7 linked regions of the Xenopus tropicalis genome follow. The protein of the gene in region 4 purifies or fractionates together with the protein of the main gene of each other region. This does not show direct contact. Links are inferred from orthologs where the notes say so. Each region holds a gene or a part of one and is shown on either strand. Other genes may lie near its edges. The genes, in order: cbx5, cdyl, dnmt1, ehmt2, chd4, znf644 and mier1.

Region 1 (3,252 bases), on a different chromosome or scaffold from region 4:
CTTTTTACTCTCAGTAGCACAAAAATTGCATTTCCTATCATGTAACAAACTGCTCAGAATGCTCTTCCCTGCATTTCCCTGGAATGAGGGGTTATATATATTAGAACAATGAGAATACCTATAAGCTGTCCATGGACATAACTGTGTCCATCCATCACTTTACCTGGATGCCTGGAACAGTAACACTAAAAAATAAAAATGTTTTAAAGTAATTAAAATAAAATGTACTGTTGCTCTGCACTGGTAAAAGGGGGGGGGGGTTTGCTACAAAAACCCCACTATAGTTTATATAAATAAGCTCTAGCGTAGCCATGGGGGCAGCCATTCAATCTGGAAAAAAGAGAAAAGGCACAGGTTACATAGCATATAAATAATAAACTGTGTAGAATACAATGGGAATCTATGCAACTTATCTGTTATCTGCTATGTAACCTGTGCCTTTTCTCCTTTTTCCAGGTTGAATGGCTGCCCCGGGGCTACACAGCAGGGTACTTATGTAAACTATAGTAGGGTTTCTGAAGCAAACACACAGCTGTTACCAGTGCAGGGCAGCAGTACATCCTATACTATTTTAATACACTTTCATTTTTTTTTATGTTACTGTTCCTTTAAAAGGACAAGGAAAGCCTAATTCACTAAAAGGATATTAATCTGTTAGCCCCTCTCACCACCAAGTGAATTAAATGGCTAACTAAGTGCTAATTGACCCTCCAAAGTGAATAAAGCTCATCTGTTTACTTAAAACAGATGGTTCGCAATTAAGTTCAATTTAAGTATGTTAGAGAATGTCCAATTCTTAGCAACTTTTCTATTAGTCTTCATTTTTTATTTCTTAAAGAAATTTCTGAATGAGTTGCTTTCCTTTTCTGATACTAATTTCCAAACCCCCCCATACACACTATGTATACCACTGTACAGCCCACTTGACGCCCAGACACAAAAAGACAGCATACATACTCTGAGAAGCCTTTCCACTTTAGAAGGAATTCTACTTGTCCCTTTACCACTCTTCGATCGAGAACCTTTTCCACAACATACTCTTCTTCCTCAGAGGAAGAGGAGGCATCTGATGCTCTTTTGTTCTTTTTTCCCATTGTGCCCTCCCTATTGGGCCTAGGACCTGCAAAACAGATATTATAAAATGGATAGAATTTCCTTGGGACATAAAATGACAGGATTTATAAATGTATATTATTATTTACGCAGTATTACTTGTAGGCGCAGCTCTGTAAATTAGAATAGAATTGAAATAAAAACAAAGTACAGGTACAACTGACCCTATTGTGACTAAGAAATTCATGCCATGTGTCAGTGCCCATTTAAACAGGCTTGGATCCCTGGAGGCCCGTGCCAGCGCTGATCTGCCCTTCAACTAAGGTGACTCTAACTCTGTTACACAAACCTCTGTTGGTGTGGGTGCTCGTGTATCGCACTATTTGGTGCCAGGTGGAAGCATATATTACTATCACAGCTGCAAGGGTCAAGTAGGGACCTTAGTGATAATTGGGGGCACAGCAGAACTGGACATAACCATAATGAAGAGTTGAGTATAGAAAACAATTATTTTCATTTAATTGAATACAAAAGGGCACATGTACGTCCACACGTGCAGTGAGCAAAGTGCAGTTTCAAGCGCAATTGACATTTTTTTTTTTTTCTCACAATGCAATGTTTAGTTTATACAGTGTTTACCAATCCATGTCTCTCAGTGAATCCATAGCAATGGGCAAAATTTGTTTTTTGACATTTTTTTTCCTGCATCAGGTTGGGTACCCACTGAATACATGTAGAGTGGTTGGGTTTCGGGCATAAAGTTCCTGTTTTTCTGACAGTCCGGGCAGTCCGCCAGGGTTAAGGTGAAGGAGCAGGAATGTTCCCTCCCACCCATTTTTTCCCTTAACCTACAGTGACATCACTTCCTGTATACAATGACGTCACTTCCAGTTTTACAGTTCTGGGTCAGAAGGTAAAGTTGTCTAGCTGCAGTCAGGGATAGTGGGTTTAGGTAGAGGACACATTGGGTAATCGGTCAGCGGGTCCAGCACAGGGTTTGTCCAACTGGACCTTTGCAGAACTTTAGCGTAGTATATCTGATTTATTACCTTAAGCGAAACCTATCAAGAACATATGTAATTAGTTATGTGGTTCTGCTTGGATAACTTGGTTATATTAGCACCAATACTTTAAATCACAGTAGTTAAAGATTAGTATTGCTGTCTTGCAGCGCTGGGGTCCTGGGTTCAATGGCAGTCAGGCACTATCTGCATGGAGTCTGAATGGTCTCCCTGTGTCTGTGTGGGTTCCCTTGTACACTCCAAAAACATACAGGCATTGGTTCCTGATATTACTGCCCACTAAATGAACTTAGCTTGTAAGCTTAAATGGAGCAGTAAATGATGTATAATAGTGCTGTGCAATATTTCAGCAATTATTTCTCAAGCAGTTCATCTCATGTCCAGTCTCAAGCAAATGAATGAGCCCCAGTGTTGAATGGACAGAGGGGTGAGGCTATTCCATACTGATGATACAGGAAGGTGACTGGCAGGCCTGATATTTCTTTAGTCATTAAGAGTTGATCCAAAACATCTAATTACCCGATAGTAATTGCACTAGTGAAGTTGAAAGAAAGAAGTTGTAAAGGGAAACTATAATTATATATTAAAAAGTCAGTATACCCCCTTGTCCAAGATGAGTTGAAGAGTACTCATTCAGCAAATAAAATTTGACAAGAGCATCTAGGAAAAACTGAAATATCACCATTCCATTGGCTGAAACACTTCAGTGTTTCATGACAGCAATGCTAACTACTGTAGCACTGTGTTATCCCGTCAGCAATTCTCTCCACTAGGGGAAAGAACTGGGAGCTAAATTAGATCATGTTGTGCTCCATTTTGTGGTCTGCATAAAGCCAATGTGTTTGTGTCCCATATCTCTCTGAGTCACCTTGATGTCTCTTTCTAGATGTCCTACTATTGGTTTGGTAGAGGACTTGGTCTAGGCAACTGCATTGGAACATCTTGAAGTCACATTCCACATTCTAGCCACTAATGCATCCAGGAGCTAATGCCATCCACCTAAACGGAAAGCTCAAGGTAGGCTCTGGGCATCTAATATTGCAGAGTGTCACAGAAACTCAGTTACAGCTACTGCAAAGACCATGGGCCAACAAGCCCTAAACGGTGTAATTCTACTGAATGCATTTAGGAATTAGGAAACTGCTCTAATGCCCAATTAAACAAAACGACAAACATT
Region 2 (3,500 bases), on a different chromosome or scaffold from region 4:
TTCCACTAAAGGCAACCTCTACTTCGTGACCTCCCTAAGGATGTTTGAAAAAAAAAAAAAAAAAAAAAATTATATTCATCTCCAGATATTACATTTGGTAAAAAGTTTCAACCCAATCTTCAAAATTCTTTGACAGGACACCATGATGGAAGATGAAATTGAGTGTAGGACTGGCCAGACCAGGGATGACTGACATAGTTGGCCAGCTTGAATATATTGTAATATATGGACAAACAATCCCTGTTTTGCTTTAAGGGAAGGGCTTGTCTTGGTAACTTAATGCACAGAAAGTCTTAATGTCCTATATATATATATATATATATATACATACAGTATTATAATGGGTGAGTGCAGAAGACCTCTTGTTGATGTCTACATGAGTATCTTTGTGAAAAGGCCTGGGATTGTAAAGCAATTCTTTTGGAATGCTTTAAATTGCAACTGTAAATGGGGGAAGATCAAAAATTCCCATACAGGTATATGTGAAAGGGGGAACTACAACTCCGATTAATGTCTAACCAATGGCAGGAGATCCTCTCAGCCCCAAAAGGATCCACCAGAGGCGCCAACCACATAAAGAAACACACAGAATTTACTCAAAGGTGGTACCTCACACCAAAATTTGTAGCCCTAATTTCTCCACATTGGTACGGTCATGTTTAACATTCACCTCAAAAATTTGCGAAATGGCAAAAATTACCAAAACATGCATTTTCTCATGGATTTTTTTTTCAATCCACAGAAACGTTTCTGGAGACAGTGTCGATAGCCAGGGACACATACCCCTCAGTACTACCTCTAGAACCTCAAGTGCTATCACTGCAATTACATGCAACGGGCTTTCCACATGAAACAAAAAAAGCTCCTATCCATATCTTTAACACAACTGCATCTCTTATTTGCAAAAGTATGGAAAAAAAATTTGAACCACCCCCCGTTCAGCATCTACTTCACCAACTAGATTTTAGAGCCAACATAAAAAAAAATGCTAACCACGACTGAATTTAAGGCTAAATGTGCCCAAATATGGGATGTATAGCATCAAGGACAAGCTTTTCAGCAGTTCTTCTCTGTACTTTAACCAAAACCACTGGGACTTTTCCTTACTCCTCAGTCAATACTTCTTGAAATGTTTTTTTTTCCATAACTACCTACAACAATTAATCTTGCAAAAACTCACATGCTCCCTTTGCTTTGTATGTGAATAACATACACACTATGTTAAAAAAAAACAAAAGTGTTGTAATTTTAAGACAAATTGTAATTTTAAGACACTGCAAAGTAATATGTCAAGGTAACTATTACAACAATGATTACCACAAAATTGTCTTTCTTCTTTGAAAAACAAAAAACAGCCCCTATGTATATATCTATAAACAAATATAGCATCCTATTTTGATTTAAACTGTTGAAAAGATGTCTGTTGTTAAGATACACTAAACTGTGAACAGGCAACTTAATAGACATACAATTGGGGACAAATTACAAACTTGCTGAAGTTCATGTTGGTTGTTTGGATATATGGAAGACATACTTGCTATGAATAAATACTTGTGAAAAAGAAGGGTGAAATGGATTACTACTTACTGATGCAAGACCCATTATCTTAGGAAACATAAGAGACGAGCATCCATCTGGGCTCTGTCCAAAAGTAGTGTAAGGTGTCTGGAACCAAGCTTTCTCATTGGCCCAAATAACATCACAAAGAGGCAATATTGATGCTCCAAGTCCAACTGCAGGTCCATTTACAGCAACAATTATTGGCTTCTTAAACTGAATGAATGTATTTACAAATGTCCTTGAAAATATAAAAATACACTTGAAATAATTATAGTTTTTCCACACAAAAATCTTACAAAACAAACTCATGCAGACTTTGCATATTCTTAAAGAATCACATAAATGAAACAATTTTCACATTATTAATCTTGCACAGTCTGAAATACTGAACCTAAATGGATATGATCTCTGTTCTCCTTCATTCTATACTAGGACCAGTTATCAGCACTGGATTATTATTAAAGTAACAAAGCCTTTGCTACTGTTTAAAGCACTGAATGAACAAATAATTATCCTAGGAATGAGAATAAGTACTATGAATGTTTTCCCGCATTCAGGACCCTGAACAGCAGTGGCTTATTCACTGTACAGTCATCCCTTTGAACAGCTGCAAAGAACACACTGTTACAGGTATCAGTTGTCAGATTCAAAAGTCCCACTCCTTGGCTGTATAACCATCATCTGGGGTTTATGTAATGTAGTCAAAGTACTTTTATTTTTACCTGCAACAGAGTAGTAATAGCTAATAATTCACTATAGCCTATTGAACAGTATCAAACACTGTCAATGTGCTATAGAACCACCTCATAGTCTAGAGGTTATATAGTGCTCTAAGTGAAAAGACTCATTCCTACCCTTTTGTATATTGTAAATCTAATAAAATACATTTCCATTAAAGCATTGTAATCTAATAAAATACATTTCTAATAATTCTAGCATATTTACTCTTATAAGTTACATGATGATGGCTTGTCTCAAAAACACAAAGAATGCAAGATACGTGTGAAAGATCTAGTCAGCAAGGTCTTTATTTTGGTCTATGAAATAGTAACATACGCTAAGAGGCGTATCAAATTAAATCAAATCAAATGATATTTTCCAAACAGGTGGAAGGTAATTTGTAAAAATGTGTTTAACCCATGAGCCATAGGAGCAGACCACATGAAAATGGTAGCTTCCAACTCAAAGTAGAAGACCCATCATTTGCCAACCACATTTAACATTCTGGGTGACTATGATGCCAAGTCTGGATTAATCAATATGCACAAAATGACTATGACTAAATTTGTTATCCTGATCATTCTATGAGTGGCCAGTCTTTAAATTAGTTTTAAACAGGGATGTTATTATGCATTTAGCTCTTCAAGTTTTTGTCAAATTAATACAAAAATAGGTTTAGGACAAAAATATAAGATGGGCAAGAATACTAATGCTTTCCGTGAACAAAAAAATTACTTTTTGATAAATTTATAAACTGAACCAGGAAGGTGAATTCTAAAAGTACATTGCGAGAGCTACTTGAATTTTATGCAGACTCTTAAGTGGAATTAACAAAAATGAAGCAGCTGCTAAATGATTTTATAGTAATACAAAGAAGGCTAAATGTGAGAGAGGTTTCTTCTTAAAAGGACAAGGAAAGTCTTTGCACAATGCATTGCCAGCTGTTAGTCAGAAATTACCACCCCATTAATTGCTAAAATCAACATTTGTTGTAGGCACAGGTAAAGGAAGGTAAATCCAGGAATTTATAATTAGCTTAAAGGCTTAATTTAACTGGACCATTGATGTCATTAACCTTTTTTGACAATACATCATACTGTGGCAATGTTTTTGCCCTGACAATGCTAGTAGATAAAAAATTAGTCAAGAAATTAGCAAAACCTGAATTGCCACCCACATTTTTGGTGGCTATGTAGACAGAAAGTAAAATCTACAAAAGC
Region 3 (3,500 bases), on a different chromosome or scaffold from region 4:
AGCTGCGTAGGTTTTTTTTCACCTCCAAAAAGGGTTAAATTATATCTTAGGATCAAGCCCGAGGTACTGTTAATACTACAGAAGGAAATTTGAAAATTTTGTAAATATAAAAAAAAGCATTGCCATTCCACAATTCAGCTTTCTAGACAATGGGATCACTTATCGAGAAAACAGCTAACTGTAGCAGTGTACTTATTATAGCTTGGACTGACACGGAAGTCTAAATGCCCAGCAAAACTAATTAGTCAACCCAATACAAAAACTGTTGGAACACTGGTCTACTGAAGAGAAATAACTTACTTATACTTATTGTCCTCTGTAGGCTGAGGGGTGGGAGGAGTCTCAAAGCGTGCATATTCTGGATCATACCACAGCTGGTAAAAATAAGTGCTTCCATCATCCTCCACAACCTTTATATCAGTGTGTGTTCCTCCCTGTGAAAACAAGTGAACATTCGAAATTCAGATTGCCAATAGAGAGAACTTAACTCACCCAACCAGCCTTCTATTGGTTGCAATTAATTGCAAGCCTGTTTAAGATTTAATGAATGTCTGCGAATGTTAATTAGGTTACAAGTTTCTCACCTCCATGAACCAGTTGTCAGATGGCGCTTTGTAAATGACCTTCACTTTGCCATGAATATAGGATAACTGCATGTCCTCACATTCATCCACAAGAAAGAGCTCGAGGGGATCAGATGTTGCACCAAGAACTGTATCTGTGCCGAGGCAGAACCAGTGCGCATGGAACATTGGCCCACAGGCATCCTCCCACATGGATGTGATCCTAAAACCAGCAAAAATTAGCAACTTCACACCAACCAACTCTTTAACTACATGTTAGGAGTAAGTGGTTACAAACCTTGCCAAGTACAGAGGCTCTGTTGGATTATCAGGACTCACTGATACACAATCCCCAACTTCCAAGATTTCAGAGTCAATGGACACTTTCAGGTAAAAGTCTTTTTTTCCTTCAGTCTTTAAAGAAAAATAAAGCCACATTGCATGACATCTATAAAATGCACAAGAGTAATGGACCTATATACTTTCTTGATGGGATGTTGGCGCCTCAGATTTCAAATATGCATATTTTAAACATTGCGTATATTGCCTACACAAATTTTGAGATGTAAAATACCTTAATTGGATCTCCCACCCAAGAGATCCTGTTCTTTTTCTCCAGTTTTTTCTTCTTTCCCTGAAGGATCTTTTTGGGCGAAGGCATTTCTGGTACAACATCCTCAACTTCCTCATCTTCATCTGCTTCCTTTACTGCCAGGTTTGGACACCTGAAGTATTTTTTGGTAGTGTCACATTTTACAGCAGATGTCAATTTAGCCAACTTACATGTATTCCTATATACATGTGTACCCTTACCTTCTCTGTGTGCAGGCTTGTTTGGTACGGCCTGCCCCACCAAACTTTAACATATCCTGGCAAGCTTTGCACTGGCCACAGTCTGGTTGCTGACACACCTGAAGGAAAATAAGGCTTCAATTCAGAACAGAGGAAAAAATTAAAATATTGCCAAGATGCGCTGTGTTTTGGACCAGGTTGAGTTAGAAAACACAAGGTTTCAAATATGATTTCTGGAGTCTGAAGGCTCCAGCAAATCATAACTAGGGCCCACTGTGTAGTTGGGTCTTCAAAAGGCACACAAATTTGAACAGTTTAGTGGTTGCTTGGGTCCAATTTAGCCTAGCAACTCCATATAAAAACTTGTCTTTTCATAAAGTGGCTAATAGATTATATTACAGTAAATACTTAAAAAAAGGTGAACCACCCCTTTAAACGTCTTAACACAAATTGCCACTGCCAAAAGGCAGTGTTTGACAGGTGATCCTTTATGTCAAGTAGGCCGAACACTGGCTGGATAACCTGAAAGCAAAGTAATCCTATTTATTAGTCTATTATAGAAAGCACTGCTTTTTGTACTCTGATCTAGCCTTAAAAAGCAACAAAGTGCAGTATAGATTCCTTTCAATGAAGTATCATAAGGGCCACACACTTTGAATAGCCATACCTCACAAACACCACAACGCCTGCGTTTGATGCCATTTTCCTTATCTGCATCTTTCTCTATTTGTTCTGAGAAGAATGTGTCAAAGATCTGATACACAAGTTTTGTGGTAGTGGCCTTTGTTGGTCCTTTGTTGTCCTTCTCTATCTTTGTAGGATGTCTAATGGCTTGTCTTCTTGCTGCTCGCCTAAAACGAAAAGTTAAAGTTAGCACTGAGAAGGAAACATGCACTGACTAACTGCAGACGCTTCTGTTTTACAAGTTACCCACTTAAAACTTAAATAGCCCCACAGCTATAACAAACCTTTTGCCCAGGGTAACACCAGCCAACTTTATGAGGTCCCTCATGCAGGGAGTTACAATAACAGGCTGCTCATCACTATCACCAGCCTCATCATAGCTCTCCACTTGTTCCACCACAAACTGTGCATGCCTTAATAAAGAGTCTTCCGTGAACCGGTTAAAGTTTAAGCCTGAAGGTGGGACGGTAGTCTGAAAGCAGAGGTAAAAAAAAAAAAAAAAAAAGAAAATGTAAACCCATTAAGTTTCTGTAGATGAACATATGTCATATGGATAAGTTCCTGCCCTTTCCGAAACTAAATATTTATGGATTACCACAATGCCTTAAGATCCTATGGGTCACTTCCAGCAACTCAAGAAGGATAGTAGGAAAAAGTATTGCATATGTTCTCACTGGCAATTTACATTACTGCTGGGGAAAAGACATTTTCAGGAGCTCACCCATGGTTAAGCATTAGCAGAGGTAAAAAAGTAAGCAGGGAGGAGAAAATGCTTGATCTTGGCAATTATGTAAAGTTAGATAAGCCCCAAGTGCCCTCCATTTATCTTGATTTTACAGTTATACTACCTGGGAATTTAACCCTTAACACTGCAATTTGTTGCATCAATGTATATTTCCTTGGTATTCTCATCTAAGGAGTGGAGTTAGCGTTTGCAAGAAAGAGCTCACCTCAATCTTGTTGAGCAGATCTTCATAACTCACATCAGGGTTATTCTGAAGGAATTCTACAACTATCTTACTCATGTAAATCTTTTCCTGCATCAGAGCAAAGATGCTGCTGTATTCTTCACTGGGATCCATTAGGATATAGTCCGCAAAAGCTACAAGTCCAAAAGCATAACAGTTTGATTATGAGCAACACAGCATTTTCCTGAAGGCAAGTGAAGGGCAAAGAGAAAGGCCCAATGGTGCTACAACAAAGTGTAAAATAAGTCAGACTAACAAGTCTTTAATTGCAAAACGGAAGGTATTGGTTAGACAGCCAATGCATTACCACAGGTTGCAGCAAGTTCCCACACCCCCCCCTCCCTATTAGGCAAAAGGCATATAATGCACTGAAGGCCAAGTAGTTCAAGTTGTATCTTGTGAATTGAGACAACATAAGAGCTAAACCAATGTTTCAGTATTCATCTTTACAAAGCAAGGATGGGATTTAAATAAACTAGATACATCAAAAATA
Region 4 (3,500 bases):
GAGCATGAATGAATAGGTGGGAGCTGCCACACGACAGGTAACTGCACAAACCCAAACAAAAATGGTAAAAATTTCAACTTTTATTCCATTTCTATAAAACTCACTTCTTGTAAAATGGAATTCTTACCCCAGTTCTTCTCCTGCACGGATATCCCTCCCACTGAAGAAGGCTATTCGAGGGAAGCGCAGATCTTGATGAGACATGAAGACCCGCACTGGGATCAGGTTTGGCTCACAAAGGTGATTAATAAAACGACTGACATTTCCATAATATCGGGCATCAATGCAGTACACTTCTCCATCCTGGCAGAGAGACAGAATTTACAATGAACTAAAAAGATGGAGAGTGTGAGAAATGTGAACAGACTAAGGAGAAAGTGACAATAGCAAGCTTTATAAAACTGATCATCCCCCTATAAAATCAGACCTAAATGCACCAAGAGATGCTTGGTAGGCTTTTTTCCATCTGTTTTTGTTTTATCATTGATTTTTAAGAGGTCAGAAAGTGGTTCAGAAATTGTATGTGGGTCTGTTTCTTGGATCAAATAAATTACACAATTTTCTTAATTATTGAGGTCACCAGGCACTCTAGTTTCCGGTTTAGTACAATTAACACTATTAAGATTCTTAAACTACTTACTAGAGGCAGATACATTCATTGTAATACAGCTTGCTCACAAATAAATGAATTAACTGACCTATACACTGGGGCCATCTTAAACAACTGTAGCAAACAAAAAAAAAAATCATAGCTGCACTCACCTTAGGCAATTTTCTTTGGTGCAAAGTCTCCTAGGCGTATGGCAGCGCCCCAACAATGTATAGAACAAAACAGAAATAGAGACTGCACTCAAGCAAAATTTCAGCTGGGGAGCTTCCCCCATTTATTATGCCAATGTATCACAAAAAAAATCAATGTTTCAGGGGAGCACTCTACTGACTAAGGAAACGTTGAATTTTTGTGGTACATTGGCATAATAAATGGGGTAAGCTCCACAGCTGAAATTTTGCTTGAGTGCAGAGTCTATTTCTGTTTTGTTCTATACATTGTTGGGGCACTGCCATACGCCTAGGAGACTTTGCACCACAGAAAATTGCCTAAGGTGAGCAAGCTGTATTACAATGAATGTATCTGCCTCTAGTAAGTAGTTTAAGAATCTTAATAGTATTAATTGTACTAAACCGGAAACTAGAGTGCCTGGTGACCTCAATAATTATGTAAATTGTGTAATTTATTTGATCCAAGAAACAGACCCACATACAATTTCTGAACCACTTTCTAACCTCTTAAAAATCAATGATAAAACAAAAACAGATGGAAAAAAGCCTACCAAGCATCTCTTGGTGCATTTAGGTCTGATTTTATATGGGGGATGATCAGTTTTATAAAGCTTGCTATTTTCACTCTCTCCTTAGTCCATTAACATTTCTCATTTGTTTTGTTCTAGCCATCTTAAACAAAACAGTTAGCAGGTCTAGCTGAGATTAAATAAAGACTGGTGATACATGGAAGTTCATACATTCTCTTAAAAAAGCAGACTAGAAGAAAATGGAGAGCAAACTGATCTATAGCTTACTACGTGCATATTCCTAAAGACAAATCTTTGCTCTAGATCTGTGTACCTACAGAAAATGTTTTTTACCTTGTTGTCCAAATCAAACAAGTAAGAATCATCTTCTCGAACATCAGCTTCAGCATCGGAGATCAGTTCCCCAACATACCTGAATTTGATTAAAAAAAAAAATTTACAAAGCATCTGGAAAGGTCAGTTTCATCCATATGAAGTCAGTGTTTAGAATGTGTTGAAGTCTGATGCTAAGTAAAAGCCTTTTATATTATTTTCTTATTCACTGTTTTATCTTGCATGGGTAAGTTTGTTTTTAGCAAGCATAATTTGAATATTCTCTTTTCTAGATGTAGTATGCCATTGCTCCTAATACTATTTTGAGCAACACTATCCCCCAAATAATAATGGAAATGCAGCTGTTGCTTGATTTTGTCTTAGCTGTGCCTCTATGAAGTCCTGCTGAGCACCCAACAAAGTAAAGAACAGTTTCAAAAAGGAGTCTTTGCTGCTAGGATTTAAAGAAATTGCATGCAGAGACTTGGTCTCCTTCCAAAGAACCTCAGATACACCAAAATCCTTGGCCCATTTCACCCCCAATAGGATATGTTGGGGCTTTAAATTTAGGCTATATATAATGAAGAATGGTATAAAGATCAGATCTGAATAATTATTTAGGGCTGCTAAAAGAAATCCAAGTACACACTTTTAAAAAATAATGTTATGTATGATGACTAGGCATAAATTAAAAGTAGACTTACTCGCAGATGAAGGTTCCCTGAGGAATTGCCTGCAGGGCTCTCACACCCCAGCCCATCTTGGCCGTGCGATATAGCTGCAGACGTACCCTAATATTGTTGGGTAAGGAATAAATAGGAACAAATTAAAGAGGACCTGTCACCCAGACATAAAAAGCTGTATAATAAAAGTACTTTTCAAATTAAACATGAAACCCAAATTCATTTTTATATTAACACATTCAAGCCCATTATAAAAGCATTTCAAAATCCCAGCTACCAATCAGATATTGCTTGCTTAGGCATAGAGGTGGGGCAGACAATAACTTCAGCTTTCCGCTCAGCACTACCTAGATGTCACTGCACATCTCACTTTCCCCCTCGCTCCTCATCATCTAATGATGTAGCCAGTGCTTGGGCATGGGCATCTGGTCCTACCATTCTGGTACATAAACAAGATTTTGGCATGATACAAGGTTTGGATTTATATTATTTATATAGAGTAAGTAAAGTTTATTTTGCTTAACTAAGAATATAGAAAATAATTTAGAGTTATTTCTTAGGGTGACAGGTCCCCTTTAAAACAGGCTTTATTAAGTCTATGAAAAAATTGCTAAGCTTGTGTTCAGTCTCCAAATCTCCTCTGTCACAGAAATTATGGTCTATAATTCTCCCTCACTGACTTAAACTTGTGGTATAAGACAAACAAGAACTAAGGTTTAACAGTTTATATTAAAAGGATACACTATCATTAGAATATTACTAGTTCATACTTAAAAATAAAATATAATACTGTTTATAGCAATGAAACTTTGGCTTAAAATATTAATATGAGCAGTTAGTCACTTTTTTGTGCATGCATGAGGTTTCCTTATTATGTATGGCCACACATACACACACTGCCTGTTTGGCCTGTTGGCTAAAATTATTTAGAGTGCAACTTCCCTAAAATAGGACAATTTGTATTTAGAAATTAAGACCATTAAATATAGATTTTTTCCCATAAGAAAGTATAGTCTATAGAAACAAAAAATATACATACTGGAGTAAAGCACCTGGAGATTACGGCAGAAATATGTAGATGTTACCATGGCCTGTTAAATAGATCTGTGGGTCATCTTTACACTGAATAACACTTACTTTATACCACTTTGCACCACTCTGTTTTTGCAAGTCTGCCAACAAGAACAGGCCTGGT
Region 5 (4,217 bases), on a different chromosome or scaffold from region 4:
GACAACTGCAGGAAGTGGCTCCCCTTCCTCGCCAGCCTGCCGGCAACTACACGGGAAGCCACTTTGCTTCTGGGGACACTGTTTACACTTTACATGCTTTCCACAGACCCAGAATCCGGCATTTCCAACACACACCATAGCCAATAAATACAGAACATGCCACCATCTGTTTATATGGCCAGCATAGGTGTGAGACCAATCCCCAATCCAGGGCACAGAGGTCAGTATTTATAATGGATAACCCCATACGACCAGAGCCGCAACACTGGCTGGATCCCTAGGAACAACAGTCATTTCCAGGGGCCATTTACCTGCTTTGTGGTTTAGGGCAGACAGCTACCATGGGGAAGGGGGGGGGGGGTATGCCAACAGTCACCCCCCCCAGCACTATCTGCATTGCCCTTTCAAGCTCTGCTATTTTAAAAACACTTTCACAGAATTAAAGAAATTTGTTATTGTAAATAATAAAAACAAATAAACGGAGGCTGGAAGGTCCGGAGAGAACCATAACCAGTACTCTTAAAGGGTTTACAAAGGGCCCCAAGGAACCCACAAGGCAGAGCTATGTGCACAAATCCAGGCATCAAGTCCTTAAAGGGCCAGAAGCGCCAGAAACTGATGCAGGCCCACAAACACTCATTTTGCTTAACAACTCAATACTTCATTCCCTTTGTGACACCCAAATGTATACATAAATGGCGTCATACTGGAACCCAGAGAGCCAGTACAATGTACACACCCTGAAGCAAAACAATGCCTGGGCTGAGCCCACAACTGCCTAAATGCACCTTTACAAAGAGCACTCTATACAGTATTAGCCAGTAGACATCTGACAGCCAATCAGTTCAGGCCACAGACCATACCAAAAAGGGGTTAACAAGCAGTTACCCATATGCCCAGGAGGCCTAGACCTGAGTCCCTAACATCAGTCCCAAAGATGATGGAACACAGGAAATAGTATAAATAAATTGCCATATTGAACCCGGCGTCCAGAACCAGCCAGGTCACTGTGGGCTCTGTCCCAATGGAAGGCCTACACATTGTTATATATACAACCCATGCAAATTCAACACTGGCTACTAGAGCCACACACCAACCTACAACACACACTATGGGAAATCAATACAGACACCTCCTTTCCCACTTATAAAACAGGCACGACACACACGGGTCCGTTTCCGGTTCTTTTACCTTGATGGATGCTGCTGTTGAGCATCACTTCAATTTCACCGTCGCTGCCGGGCGAAGAAGGTCCCAGACTGGAGGCCATGTCCAAGACGGAGCAAAATGGCACCAGGGGGTGAGAAGTAGCAGCAGAGAACAGCAGGCGATGTTTGAGGTGGGGGGCTCACTGTTTGGCACTGGACAGGGTGCTGTGAGGAGAGACACATGGGTAAGTACAAGCTTATTTTATTCACAGAACTATATATAAACCCATAGGCCCAAATGTGCCATCAGTACAGGCCCGGTATCTGCTCCAGTGGCACTAGGCTACTGAGAAGCCATGCTGGCCAGGTAATGTGTGGTGGCACAGAAACAGCCGACGTCACAATTAGGAGGGGATGCAATTAGCAAAGGCCTCACATCATACAGCAGCACAGGGACGGGGAAGGACAAAGGACACATTAAATAAGCACAAGCTTGTAGTTCAACTACATCCCTCCAGTTGCCAAGGGACGCTGCTTTGTTTCTATAGGCCAGAAGCACGGATCTACGAGTGGCTATGAGAATGCACACAGACTCACGCCATTGTGCTCAGTATCACAGAGCCGGACACAGCTCCCATGGGCCATACATCCCCTGGGGCAACACGGAATGGATCCAGCTTGCCAAGCGCCAGAATGGGTCACACGAGTTCCAGATGGTATATCCCAGAGGATATATATTACACAGGGGGCTTGCAGCCACTACACATGGTACAGAGACACTGGCTAATACTGGGGCTACAGACCTATGTGGGGCATAGACTTGTATGGGCTACTGGCCCCAAGTGGCCACTGCGGCTACACAGGACTATGAAAAGGTTCCAGAAGGGCCACAATCCTGATGGTATAGGGGGGGGGGGGTAGATCATGGTACAGTATAAGGAGGGGGGGCACAGGCCAGGGGTCCATGGGCCCGGTACTGAAGGTACTGAACCCATAAGGGGGGACACACATGGGCCGGTACCAGGCCAGTACCGAGTGGGGAACACATGGGTTAATAACAGAATGAAATGGACTAATATGAGGCTGGTAGTGAGGGGGAGGGGAGGGCTGGTAATGAAGGGGGGCAGTACTGAGAGGATCCATCTGGGTCAGTACCAGGCCGGTACCGAGGGGGGCACACCGGGTCAGTACCAGGCCGGTACCGAGGGGGGCACACCGGGTCAGTACCAGGCCGGTACCGAGGGGGGCACACCGGGTCAGTATCAGGCCGGTACCGAGGGGGGCACACCGGGTCAGGTCCCGGCAGAACACAATAGAAAGGCAGGGGACGCAGTTGTGGCTCCATGAGGCGGCACTTGGGGGGCCGGAAGTTGGGAGTACCCGGCGGACTGCCGGAGGGACACCCCATGTCACCCACTCCCCCCCCCCTCCGGCCGCTGCGGGGAATAGACACCCCGGAACTAAGCCTGACAGAACCCCCCGCCGGACACACAATCCCGGTAAGTTCGTGAAGGAGCCCGTAGCCCTCCCGAGCCGGGCCAGCCGCCTCTCCCCCCCCAGAGCCCCTCACATACCCGCTCCACATGCGCTGCCTCCAGCCGGTGCCTCTCCCGCTCCTTTCTCCCCGACACACCGGCAGTGATGGTAAAAATCCCGCCCCTTCCCTTGCCCCCGCCCAGTTACCATAGCAACCAGCGCGTTGCCGGGGAGATGGGCGGCCCCCGACATCCCATAATAACACGAGAGAGCCTGCCATCCCATAATACTCCATCTGGCATCCCATAATAACATGAGTGAGATTGACATCCCATAATACCTCCCGGCATCCCATAATAACACCCAGGGAGCCTGACATCCCATAATAACCAACTTCTGCCATCCCATAATAACCTAAGGGTGCCTGACATCCCATAATATGTCCTGCTGACATGCCATAGAGACAAGAGACACAGACTGACATCCCATAATAGTCACACTGGCATCCCAGAGTAAGTAACATTACCCTCAGCATCCCATAATAAGTCCTTCCTATCAGAGTACCTCTCCACATTGTCAGGTGGTTCCAAATACAGGGTTCCTATGGCCCTGGACTAATAGCTTCTCTCCAGGGTAACACTGATATACCTGGGCAACCTCCTGTATGGGCCCCATAATATCTGTGGCCCTATAATAACTGGAGGCCTTCATAATGTTTTGCTTCTAAAATATACCCTAAATAGCATCCGGTCATCTGTGGCACACAATTCTGGCTACATCTGTTCCTTGTATCCCGATAATGGAGTCCTGTAATAATAAAGTACCTTATATATACGTGCAAGTAACTTTATACTACTTACTACTACTAGGGATAAATCTCAGTATGCCTTCAGCTTCAGTGACAACTCCCTGCCTTGGCCACTAAAGTACCTTATATATATGTGTGCAAGTAACTTTATACTACTTACTACTGCTAGGGATAAATCTCTGTATGCCTTCAGCTTCTAACTTGGCTACTATAAATGTGCTACCGGTAGTAAGTTTATACTATCTACTACCAGGAATAAATCTCAGTATCCCTCAGCATCAGTAACTAAAATGGTTACTGAAATACCTCATAAATGTGCCATTAACATTATAACAGGATCCTCTGAGGCCAGAGGCAGACATCATGGTACTAACTAGCAAGGCCAGGCTAATATTCAAGATAGGCCCTGGCAAGTAACACAGAGGCCCAAACAGCCCCCCCACAAGCGCAATAGATAGTGACTGTCTTTTGGCATGTTATAGTAGCCCCTCTAGCATTTGTCAGAATCTGCAGATTGCCAGTCCAGGCCAGCTAACTAAGTATAAATCACTCAGTAACTTCTAAATTGGCTATTAAAGTACCTCATAAATGTGCCGATAACTTTTTACCAGGATAATATAAAGCCACAGGCCCATGTTTTGGTACTGCTAGATATACATCTCAGTATCTAAAGTACCTCATACATTTTCCAGTAATGGTGGCCACACACAGATAGATTCCAGGTGTACTTACTGATATCTGGTCACCTATACCCATGGAGACACTTACATTTCAAACCCCTACCC
Region 6 (2,772 bases), on a different chromosome or scaffold from region 4:
AGGGCACAGGATAAGTATTGGAGGGCACCTAACAGTTCCAAAGCAAGGTAGCCTGTACTTGGCATTTACCAGGTTACATCAAGAGTTCTGCTGAAAGGGTGCTGCTATCAGTCAATAATTACAAAAACATTTGCACCCTTGCCTGGTAAAGAAATGTAGACTAAAATCTTGGAAGGCAACTCATACAGCACCCCTGGCTTTGGAATCATTTAGGTGTCATGGATGCATCAGTATATCAAAGAAGATTGATAGAGAATGAATTATCGATTTCATATAAACCATTATGTCGTAAATGTATACACAAAATCATCAGATCCCCTTTAACATCTACAGAAAGGACATTTTTGTAATTCATACAAATCTGACCAGAAAAAAAGGAGTGTGTTCATAGTAATATTGAATATTTTTTGAAACTCATTATGTATTGCTTTCTTGGACTTTTTTTTAGTAATTAGTTTTTGAGTCGATGTTACTGAAGTTAAACACATTTAAACTTCAACTTTCCATCCTCACAACACATTTATTTTAATATTTCGGTAAGTGGGCCCTTAGAGCATAGTGTTACACAATGTTCATACACAATCACATCCAAAACAAGTTTTAAAATTTAATTGTAAACATTCTTGTATTTTGAAATCTTAAACTTCTGCTAAAATGATCGAATGTGAAGCTAAACGTAACATAAAAACACCCTTTAAGTGTGGTGAGAAAGGCATATTTACAAAATGTGTGTTTAATAGAGTACTAAGGTGCCAAACTAACATAAAATATTAAAAGAGAATAGCAAATGATTTTTTTTCTATAAACAGAACTTTGCTCAAAATCTACATTTAAAAATGTCATTGGGTAGATACATCTTTGTTGACAAAGTAGGAGGTAGCATGGATGCACCAGTTAGTGAGAAATGCAACTGAAATAAAGGATTTCCTTACAACAAATAGGTTCCATTAATATATATACACTTTTCAGAAAGATCTGTTAAAACAATTCACCTTCCACTTTTTAGTACAAAAATTTGTGTAATAAAAAACACATACATCTACGCATAAGAGTACTGATTGCCCTATTTGAATGGAACAGTCTTGTGAAATTTGCAGTACATGGTAATACTTAATGCCCTAAATTAAATACACTGAGTATCTGTTATTAGAGAAAGTAGTTTAAATAAATGTTTACAAGGATCCAATTCTTTTTTTCCCCCCCAAACTGGATGTCAGTCGTTACAAAAACTGGAAAAACACTATTTCAAATTTTTTCAACTACTACATTGCGTTGTATTACACTGTGTGTGTAATCAACAAAAAATAATATACAATTTAGCCAAAGATGAACTGGACAGCTTAATGTAAATTAAAAGTCTCTGTGATGCGGCAAATCAGCCTTTACTGTATCCATTGTGGTTTAAACAAACTTATCAACCTTTTATTTTTAAAAAAGTTTCAATGTACACCAAACAAGTCTTGTGGTTTTTAACATAATCTCGGTTCTATGATGTTGCTTCCATTAGAATAGGAAATGATGGTTCAGAGATTGAGGGAGGTTTCTTTAGCAGCGATTCCACTTCAACCATACCAGCCCCAGTCCTTGGAAGATTAGCATTAACTATATGGCGTTGCAAGTGCTTTATCCAGTCTTCTTGAATAGACAAAGGCCCACGAAATACAAGTCCACAAAACCTGTGAATGGCAAGGATCAGTAGGTTAAAGGGATTCTGTGATGATTTTTATGGTGAACTTTTTATTTCTAAATGACACTGTTTACATAGCAACATAAAGCAGCACCTAAAAATTCTTCTAGGCCAGTGCTGTCCAACTGGCGGCCCGCGACCCCCCTCTGTGTGGCCCCCCACCTGTCTGGCTGCTTTGATGGCTTACCTTTGAGTAAGCATTAAATGGTTTCAGTACTGAGATTAACTGGCCCCCTTTGATGGTTTACCTTTGAGTAAGCATTAAATGGTTTCAGTACTGAGATTAACTGGCCCCCTTTGATGGTTTACCTTTGAGTAAGCATTAAATGGTTTCAGTACAGAGATTAACTGGCCCCCTGCATGGTTCTCACCTCAGATTCAGGCTGTAATCCCTCTGTATAATTTAAACATGTAATCCCCTGTGTTTTTCACACCTTTTAATACCTGCATTGTTCAACCTCTGCAGTGTTCACACCTCAGGCTCAGGCTATAATCACTCCCATTGTTCACTTCTTCACACCTCAGACATAGGTACTGTAGGCAGAGTATGGCACATACAGCCAGCATAGGGCAGGTAGAGTATGGCACACACAGGCAGCATAGGTCAGGGAGGGTATGGCACACACAGGAAGGGTAGGGCAGGCAGAGTATGGCACACAGAGGCAGCATAGGGAAGGCAGAGTATGGCACACCCTGGCAGGGTAGGGCAGGAAGAGGATGGCACACACAGGCAGGGTAGGGCAGGCAGAGTATAGCACACAGAGGCAGCATAGGGAAGGCAGAGTATGGCACACACAGTCAGGGTAGGGCAGGCAGAGTATGGCACACACAGGCAGGGTAGGGCAGGCAGAGTATGGCACACACAGTCAGGGTAGGGTAGGCAGAGTATGGCACACACAGGCAGGGTAGGGCAGGCAGAGTATGGCACACAGAGGCAGCATAGGGAAGGCAGAGTATGGCACACACAGGCAGGGTAGGACAGGCAGAGTATGGCACACACAGACAGCATAGGACAGGCAGAGTGCTGCCTGTGTGTGCCATACTCTGCTTGCCCTATGCTGCTTGTGGGAGGTGAACCTGGCAGG
Region 7 (4,209 bases), on a different chromosome or scaffold from region 4:
TTAAACCTTAACTTCTGAACCCAAAATTTCTCAAACATGGGCAGTACACTAGAACACGGTAATGTTCATGAAGAATACATTTACTAAAACTAGTAACACAAAAAAACACCCTAAAAGAAATTACACATAATATCTACATGATATGCACAAAACTTTATGATTTTTTTTTATGACTGAGAAATGCCTGAACGGTTGAGGAGCCTGTGGAAACAACCTGTTACTGCTGGTAATTATAACCAAAAAAAACACAAATTATATTAGTATTCTTTAATTCCAGACAAAAAAAAAAGTGTGAGTACTTTATGGCCTACATGCACCTTTGCGAAGCTGGGAATATATGGGAAGAGCTGCTTGTTTGGTAAACCAACAACTGGATCATTATGGAGGCCTTTAAAGACCTATGGGGGGTGGTTTATCCAGGCTACTGGGAGTGTATAGAAACATACAGCTACTAACAGTACATTGCCTTTGAGCGCCACCATCTTCACAGACTTGCCATGGATCACACAGTATAGGAACGCAGAAATCACTGCAAGCACAGTATAGTAAAATTGGAAATATTAATGTACTGCCCATGCAAACAGTCCTAGCCAGCCATGGGACATCAGTGAAGTGGTGCAGTGCTCAGAGGAAAAGAACCCTGGGCAAGTATGTGTGATTGAATACCATAGCACAAAATACAGCAGAAGAGTTACAATTTATTTGAGGGACAGGTGGACACTGAGGTACTGCTGTGGTTCATAGGTGTCTTGTAGCTGCATACCATAGTGATGTTTCCCCACATTGCGCAATTCACTTTTCTTGGCCCTAGCGTTAACAGCCTGTAATTTGATATTATTTATGATTCTTATCCCGTGTAACGTATTTTAGACTAGACTTTATGTACAATGACAGGTGGCGATAAAACATCAAAATTAATCTGCAATTGCCAACCACTATCAGTCAAATAAATATGATTTTTCCTTGATTTGACTGTTTTACCCCAAGAAATATCAATATTTAGAAAGGGCAGGGTTATTTTGAACATTTTGTCATCTGTGACGTAGCATGGGTAAAAAAGAAAAAACCTCTGTCATTGCCCTACGGGTTGATTTAAACTTAAATCACATGTTGTTAAATCAAAATTAATTGACCAAAGCACACCACCAAATGCACAAGCTTTATACATGTATGGGATCCCTTATCCAGAAAGCTCAGAATTACGGAAAGCCTGTCTCCATTTTAATTAAATAATTCAGAATTTTAAAATTGATTTCCTTTTTCTCTGTAATAATAAAAAAAAAGTACCTTGTACTTGATCCCAACTAAGATATAATTAATCCTTATTGGAGCCAAAACAATCCTATTGGTTTTAATTAATGTTTTATTGATTTTTTTAGTAGACTTAAAGGTATGGAGATCCAAATTATGGAAAGACCCCTTATCTGGAATACCCTTGGTCCCGAGCAATCTGTACAACGGGTCCTATACCTGTTGTGGACTGCTGATTTGTTTTAATTGTGCTGGTACGAGTCAGGAAGTACAATGTGACTTTAGTTTCATTTTCAGGTTTTGACCTTTTCAGTGTAAGTAGTATCAAAAGACATACAAACTTTCCTAATTAAAACAATAGACAAATATTTTACTCATGTTGGAAAAGGTTGTATCTTGCACATTTAACTGTTCATAGAGACTTCAGAAAAAATCCTTTATGGGAATGGAACACAGTACATGTTATAACATGCTGCTGAATTCAATAAGGAAATAAACATTTCAACAAGCAACAACGTAGCAAAAGCATTATCTAAACTAAACTTTTTCCAGATCCACATCACGCAACTCTCTGTAACATATATATTTCTAAATATAAATAACATATCTTTACAAATATATATGTTAATGTAATTCCAGTTGAAAGCTGCATTTGTTTATCCCTTTTTGCTCTCTAGTTCTACAATGTCTCCTCAGTACTACATTGATACAAGTCAGAACCAGCAGTGCAGAGAAAAAGAAATCTGACTGATGTTGCTTTTAATATCCATTAGCAAAATGATTAACAGTTAACTTGAAAGCATTGACAATCTTGAATAAATGTGTATTGCAAATTGCAAAGATTTAGATTGTCTTTAATTAGGCAAAACAAAATTGGTGTTTGACTGACTTCCCCATTAAGAAGAGCATCAACGTTTACTGTAGGATACTGGGAACTGTAGTTTAAAAGCAAATGCGAACAATACGCCACAAGCTTGTTCTAAATGAAAGTTTGTGAGAAATTTAGAAAAAACCCTAAAGAGCGGAATCTTAGTGAAAATCAAATATGAAAGGCCGGCGTATAGAAAGAGCGCAATGAGTGGCCCTTCCGCAGTGACTAGCGCATATTCCCGCCTAAAGAGCAAGGGACGAAAGCGAAGTCTCAGGCTAGGCCGTACAAGCGGCCCCACTGCCTCCCCATCAGGGTGCAAGCTGCGCTCTATCAGTCAGTCCCAAGCGGCACCGCGCGTCGGGAAACACTCTGAGAAGTTTTCGTAAGGCGAGATTGGGCGGGAGAGCTAGAATGCAACAAGTTAGTGAAGGCTGCAAAAGGTTCGGCCTAGGGGGCTGCAATAGAGCCTATTACACGTGAGGTGTGGAGGGAATTCTCACCATCGTGAGATGAATGTATTTGTGACAGCAAAGAGGACTACTGGGGATGTTTATATGAGTTTCCTTCTTACCTCCGCCATGTTTGCCGTACTGACGGGTCACATCGCGGGTCAGCTCGAAACCCCGGATGAAACTTAGGATCCGCAGCAAAGGCGGAAGTGGATGCCTGCTCTCGTCTGACCGCCAGGTGGCGAGACCAATCAGCAGAAAGGAGGAGGCGCCCACTGTACCGACAGGCGTGGCAATGGCTTCTCACAAAACAAGGGCGGTTCGCCAGGGGGCGTGCGTTTTCCCAAGCCGGGTTGGAATACATAGCGTTTCCATGGGTACCAATAACGCTTGTTGTCGGAACCACGGCAGAGCTCAAGAAGAAGCGTCTGATATCTTATAGCTGGTACGCCGTGTCGTACCGAGATTTGCTAAGCCATGTCTGGCCCCACAGCTACTGAGGGGAAAGCGAAAAAGCTGAATTCAGTTGTCACAATGTAAGCACAAACGTTTTGTATTGCTTAAATAATGCGGCTAACTGTGTCTGATTTGTGTATTTCTTTCATTTATCTGTACATGTGTTTGTTATCCCTGTACCCATTTATTAAAGTAATTATATTACTTGTGAATTTGGGGGTAACAAGTTCATATTACCTGGGAGTACACACCAATTACAAAATAGCTCTTCTTTTTTAAAAAATGTTGCCTTTATTGTAAGGCCAGAAAGAAAGTCCATACGTGACAGTGTAGGAATCATGGTGAATTACAGGGGTAGTTCACCTTTAAATTAACCTTTAGTGTGACGTAGACAGTAACATTCTGAGACAGTTTGCAATTGGTCTTCATTTTTTATGGTTTTTCAATCATTTCACCTTTTGTTCAGTAGCTTTCCTGCTTGGTATATTAGCAGCTATCTAGTTGCTGGGGTTTTATTTTCCATAGCAACCAGGCAGTGGTTTGAATAAGAGACTGGAATGAGAATAGGAGGGGGACTTAATTAAAAAAAACAAGTAATTAAAAGCAACAATAACAATTAAATTGTAGCCTAACAGAGGAATAGTTTTATGCCTGTTGGGGTCAGTGACCCTGATTTGAAGGCTGGAAAAAGCTAGAGGAGGAAGCCAAATAATTCAAAAATTGTAAAGAATAATAATTAGTTTACCAGCGCATTAGTGATGCAAAGGGTTGGGCAGAGCAGACCAATTGCTACCAGAGGTGGGTTGCATCTGATGACTTCAGGTATAAATTTGCAGTATCTCACTGGGTCTGTCTCAAGTTAAAGGAACAGTAACACCAAAAAATAAAAATGTTTTTAAGTAATCATAATACAATGCACTGTTGCCCTGCACTGGTAAAATTTGCACATTTGCTTCAGAAACACTTCTATAGTTTATATAATAAGCTGCTGTGTAGCCATGGGGGCAGCCATTCAAGCTGGAAAAAGGAGAAAAGGCACAGGTTACATAGCAGATAACAGATAAAACACCATTGTATTGTACAGAACTTATCTGTTATCTGCTATGTAACCTGTGCCTTTTCTATTTTAAATGGCTGCCCCCATGGCTAAACAGCAGCTTCATTTACTAAACTATAGTAATG

The links.
Region 1: the proteins of ehmt2 (region 4) and cbx5 purify together in Homo sapiens (affinity purification with mass spectrometry; 3 studies listed by BioGRID and IntAct, with this or other methods). This does not show direct contact. The link is inferred for Xenopus tropicalis from reciprocal best matches to the Homo sapiens genes EHMT2 and CBX5.
Region 2: the proteins of ehmt2 (region 4) and cdyl purify together in Homo sapiens (affinity purification with mass spectrometry; 4 studies listed by BioGRID and IntAct, with this or other methods). This does not show direct contact. The link is inferred for Xenopus tropicalis from reciprocal best matches to the Homo sapiens genes EHMT2 and CDYL.
Region 3: the proteins of ehmt2 (region 4) and dnmt1 purify together in Homo sapiens (affinity purification with western blotting; 3 studies listed by BioGRID, with this or other methods). This does not show direct contact. The link is inferred for Xenopus tropicalis from reciprocal best matches to the Homo sapiens genes EHMT2 and DNMT1.
Region 5: the proteins of ehmt2 (region 4) and chd4 purify together in Homo sapiens (affinity purification with western blotting; 3 studies listed by BioGRID and IntAct, with this or other methods). This does not show direct contact. The link is inferred for Xenopus tropicalis from reciprocal best matches to the Homo sapiens genes EHMT2 and CHD4.
Region 6: the proteins of ehmt2 (region 4) and znf644 purify together in Homo sapiens (affinity purification with mass spectrometry; 3 studies listed by BioGRID and IntAct, with this or other methods). This does not show direct contact. The link is inferred for Xenopus tropicalis from reciprocal best matches to the Homo sapiens genes EHMT2 and ZNF644.
Region 7: the proteins of ehmt2 (region 4) and mier1 purify together in Homo sapiens (co-immunoprecipitation; 3 studies listed by BioGRID and IntAct, with this or other methods). This does not show direct contact. The link is inferred for Xenopus tropicalis from reciprocal best matches to the Homo sapiens genes EHMT2 and MIER1.

Annotation. Positions count from the first base shown.
Region 1 is NC_030678.2:145,634,783-145,638,034, reverse strand, and holds part of cbx5 (chromobox protein homolog 5), read right to left. Parts: intron 1,121-3,252; coding exon 958-1,120; intron 1-957. UniProt on the Homo sapiens protein: Component of heterochromatin that recognizes and binds histone H3 tails methylated at 'Lys-9' (H3K9me), leading to epigenetic repression. In contrast, it is excluded from chromatin when 'Tyr-41' of histone H3 is phosphorylated (H3Y41ph).
Region 2 is NC_030682.2:87,935,868-87,939,367, forward strand, and holds part of cdyl (chromodomain Y-like protein), read right to left. Parts: intron 1,799-3,500; coding exon 1,588-1,798; intron 1-1,587.
Region 3 is NC_030679.2:137,112,283-137,115,782, forward strand, and holds part of dnmt1 (DNA (cytosine-5)-methyltransferase 1), read right to left. Parts: intron 3,142-3,500; coding exon 2,990-3,141; intron 2,512-2,989; coding exon 2,324-2,511; intron 2,207-2,323; coding exon 2,023-2,206; intron 1,475-2,022; coding exon 1,377-1,474; intron 1,289-1,376; coding exon 1,138-1,288; intron 978-1,137; coding exon 862-977; intron 787-861; coding exon 585-786; intron 435-584; coding exon 301-434; intron 1-300. UniProt on the Homo sapiens protein: Methylates CpG residues. Preferentially methylates hemimethylated DNA. Associates with DNA replication sites in S phase maintaining the methylation pattern in the newly synthesized strand, that is essential for epigenetic inheritance.
Region 4 is NC_030684.2:73,967,909-73,971,408, forward strand, and holds part of ehmt2 (histone-lysine N-methyltransferase EHMT2), read right to left. Parts: coding exon 3,443-3,500; intron 2,414-3,442; coding exon 2,327-2,413; intron 1,723-2,326; coding exon 1,644-1,722; intron 304-1,643; coding exon 128-303; intron 1-127. UniProt on the Homo sapiens protein: Histone methyltransferase that specifically mono- and dimethylates 'Lys-9' of histone H3 (H3K9me1 and H3K9me2, respectively) in euchromatin.
Region 5 is NC_030683.2:10,084,815-10,089,031, forward strand, and holds the start of chd4 (chromodomain-helicase-DNA-binding protein 4), read right to left. Parts: upstream 2,801-4,217; 5' UTR 2,723-2,800; intron 1,374-2,722; 5' UTR 1,271-1,373; coding exon 1,192-1,270; intron 1-1,191. UniProt on the Homo sapiens protein: ATP-dependent chromatin-remodeling factor that binds and distorts nucleosomal DNA. Acts as a component of the histone deacetylase NuRD complex which participates in the remodeling of chromatin.
Region 6 is NC_030680.2:105,038,841-105,041,612, reverse strand, and holds the end of znf644 (zinc finger protein 644), read right to left. Parts: intron 1,677-2,772; coding exon 1,487-1,676; 3' UTR 501-1,486; downstream 1-500.
Region 7 is NC_030680.2:83,762,884-83,767,092, forward strand, and holds the start of mier1 (mesoderm induction early response protein 1), read right to left. Parts: upstream 2,801-4,209; 5' UTR 2,703-2,800; coding exon 2,694-2,702; intron 1-2,693. UniProt on the Homo sapiens protein: Transcriptional repressor regulating the expression of a number of genes including SP1 target genes. Probably functions through recruitment of HDAC1 a histone deacetylase involved in chromatin silencing.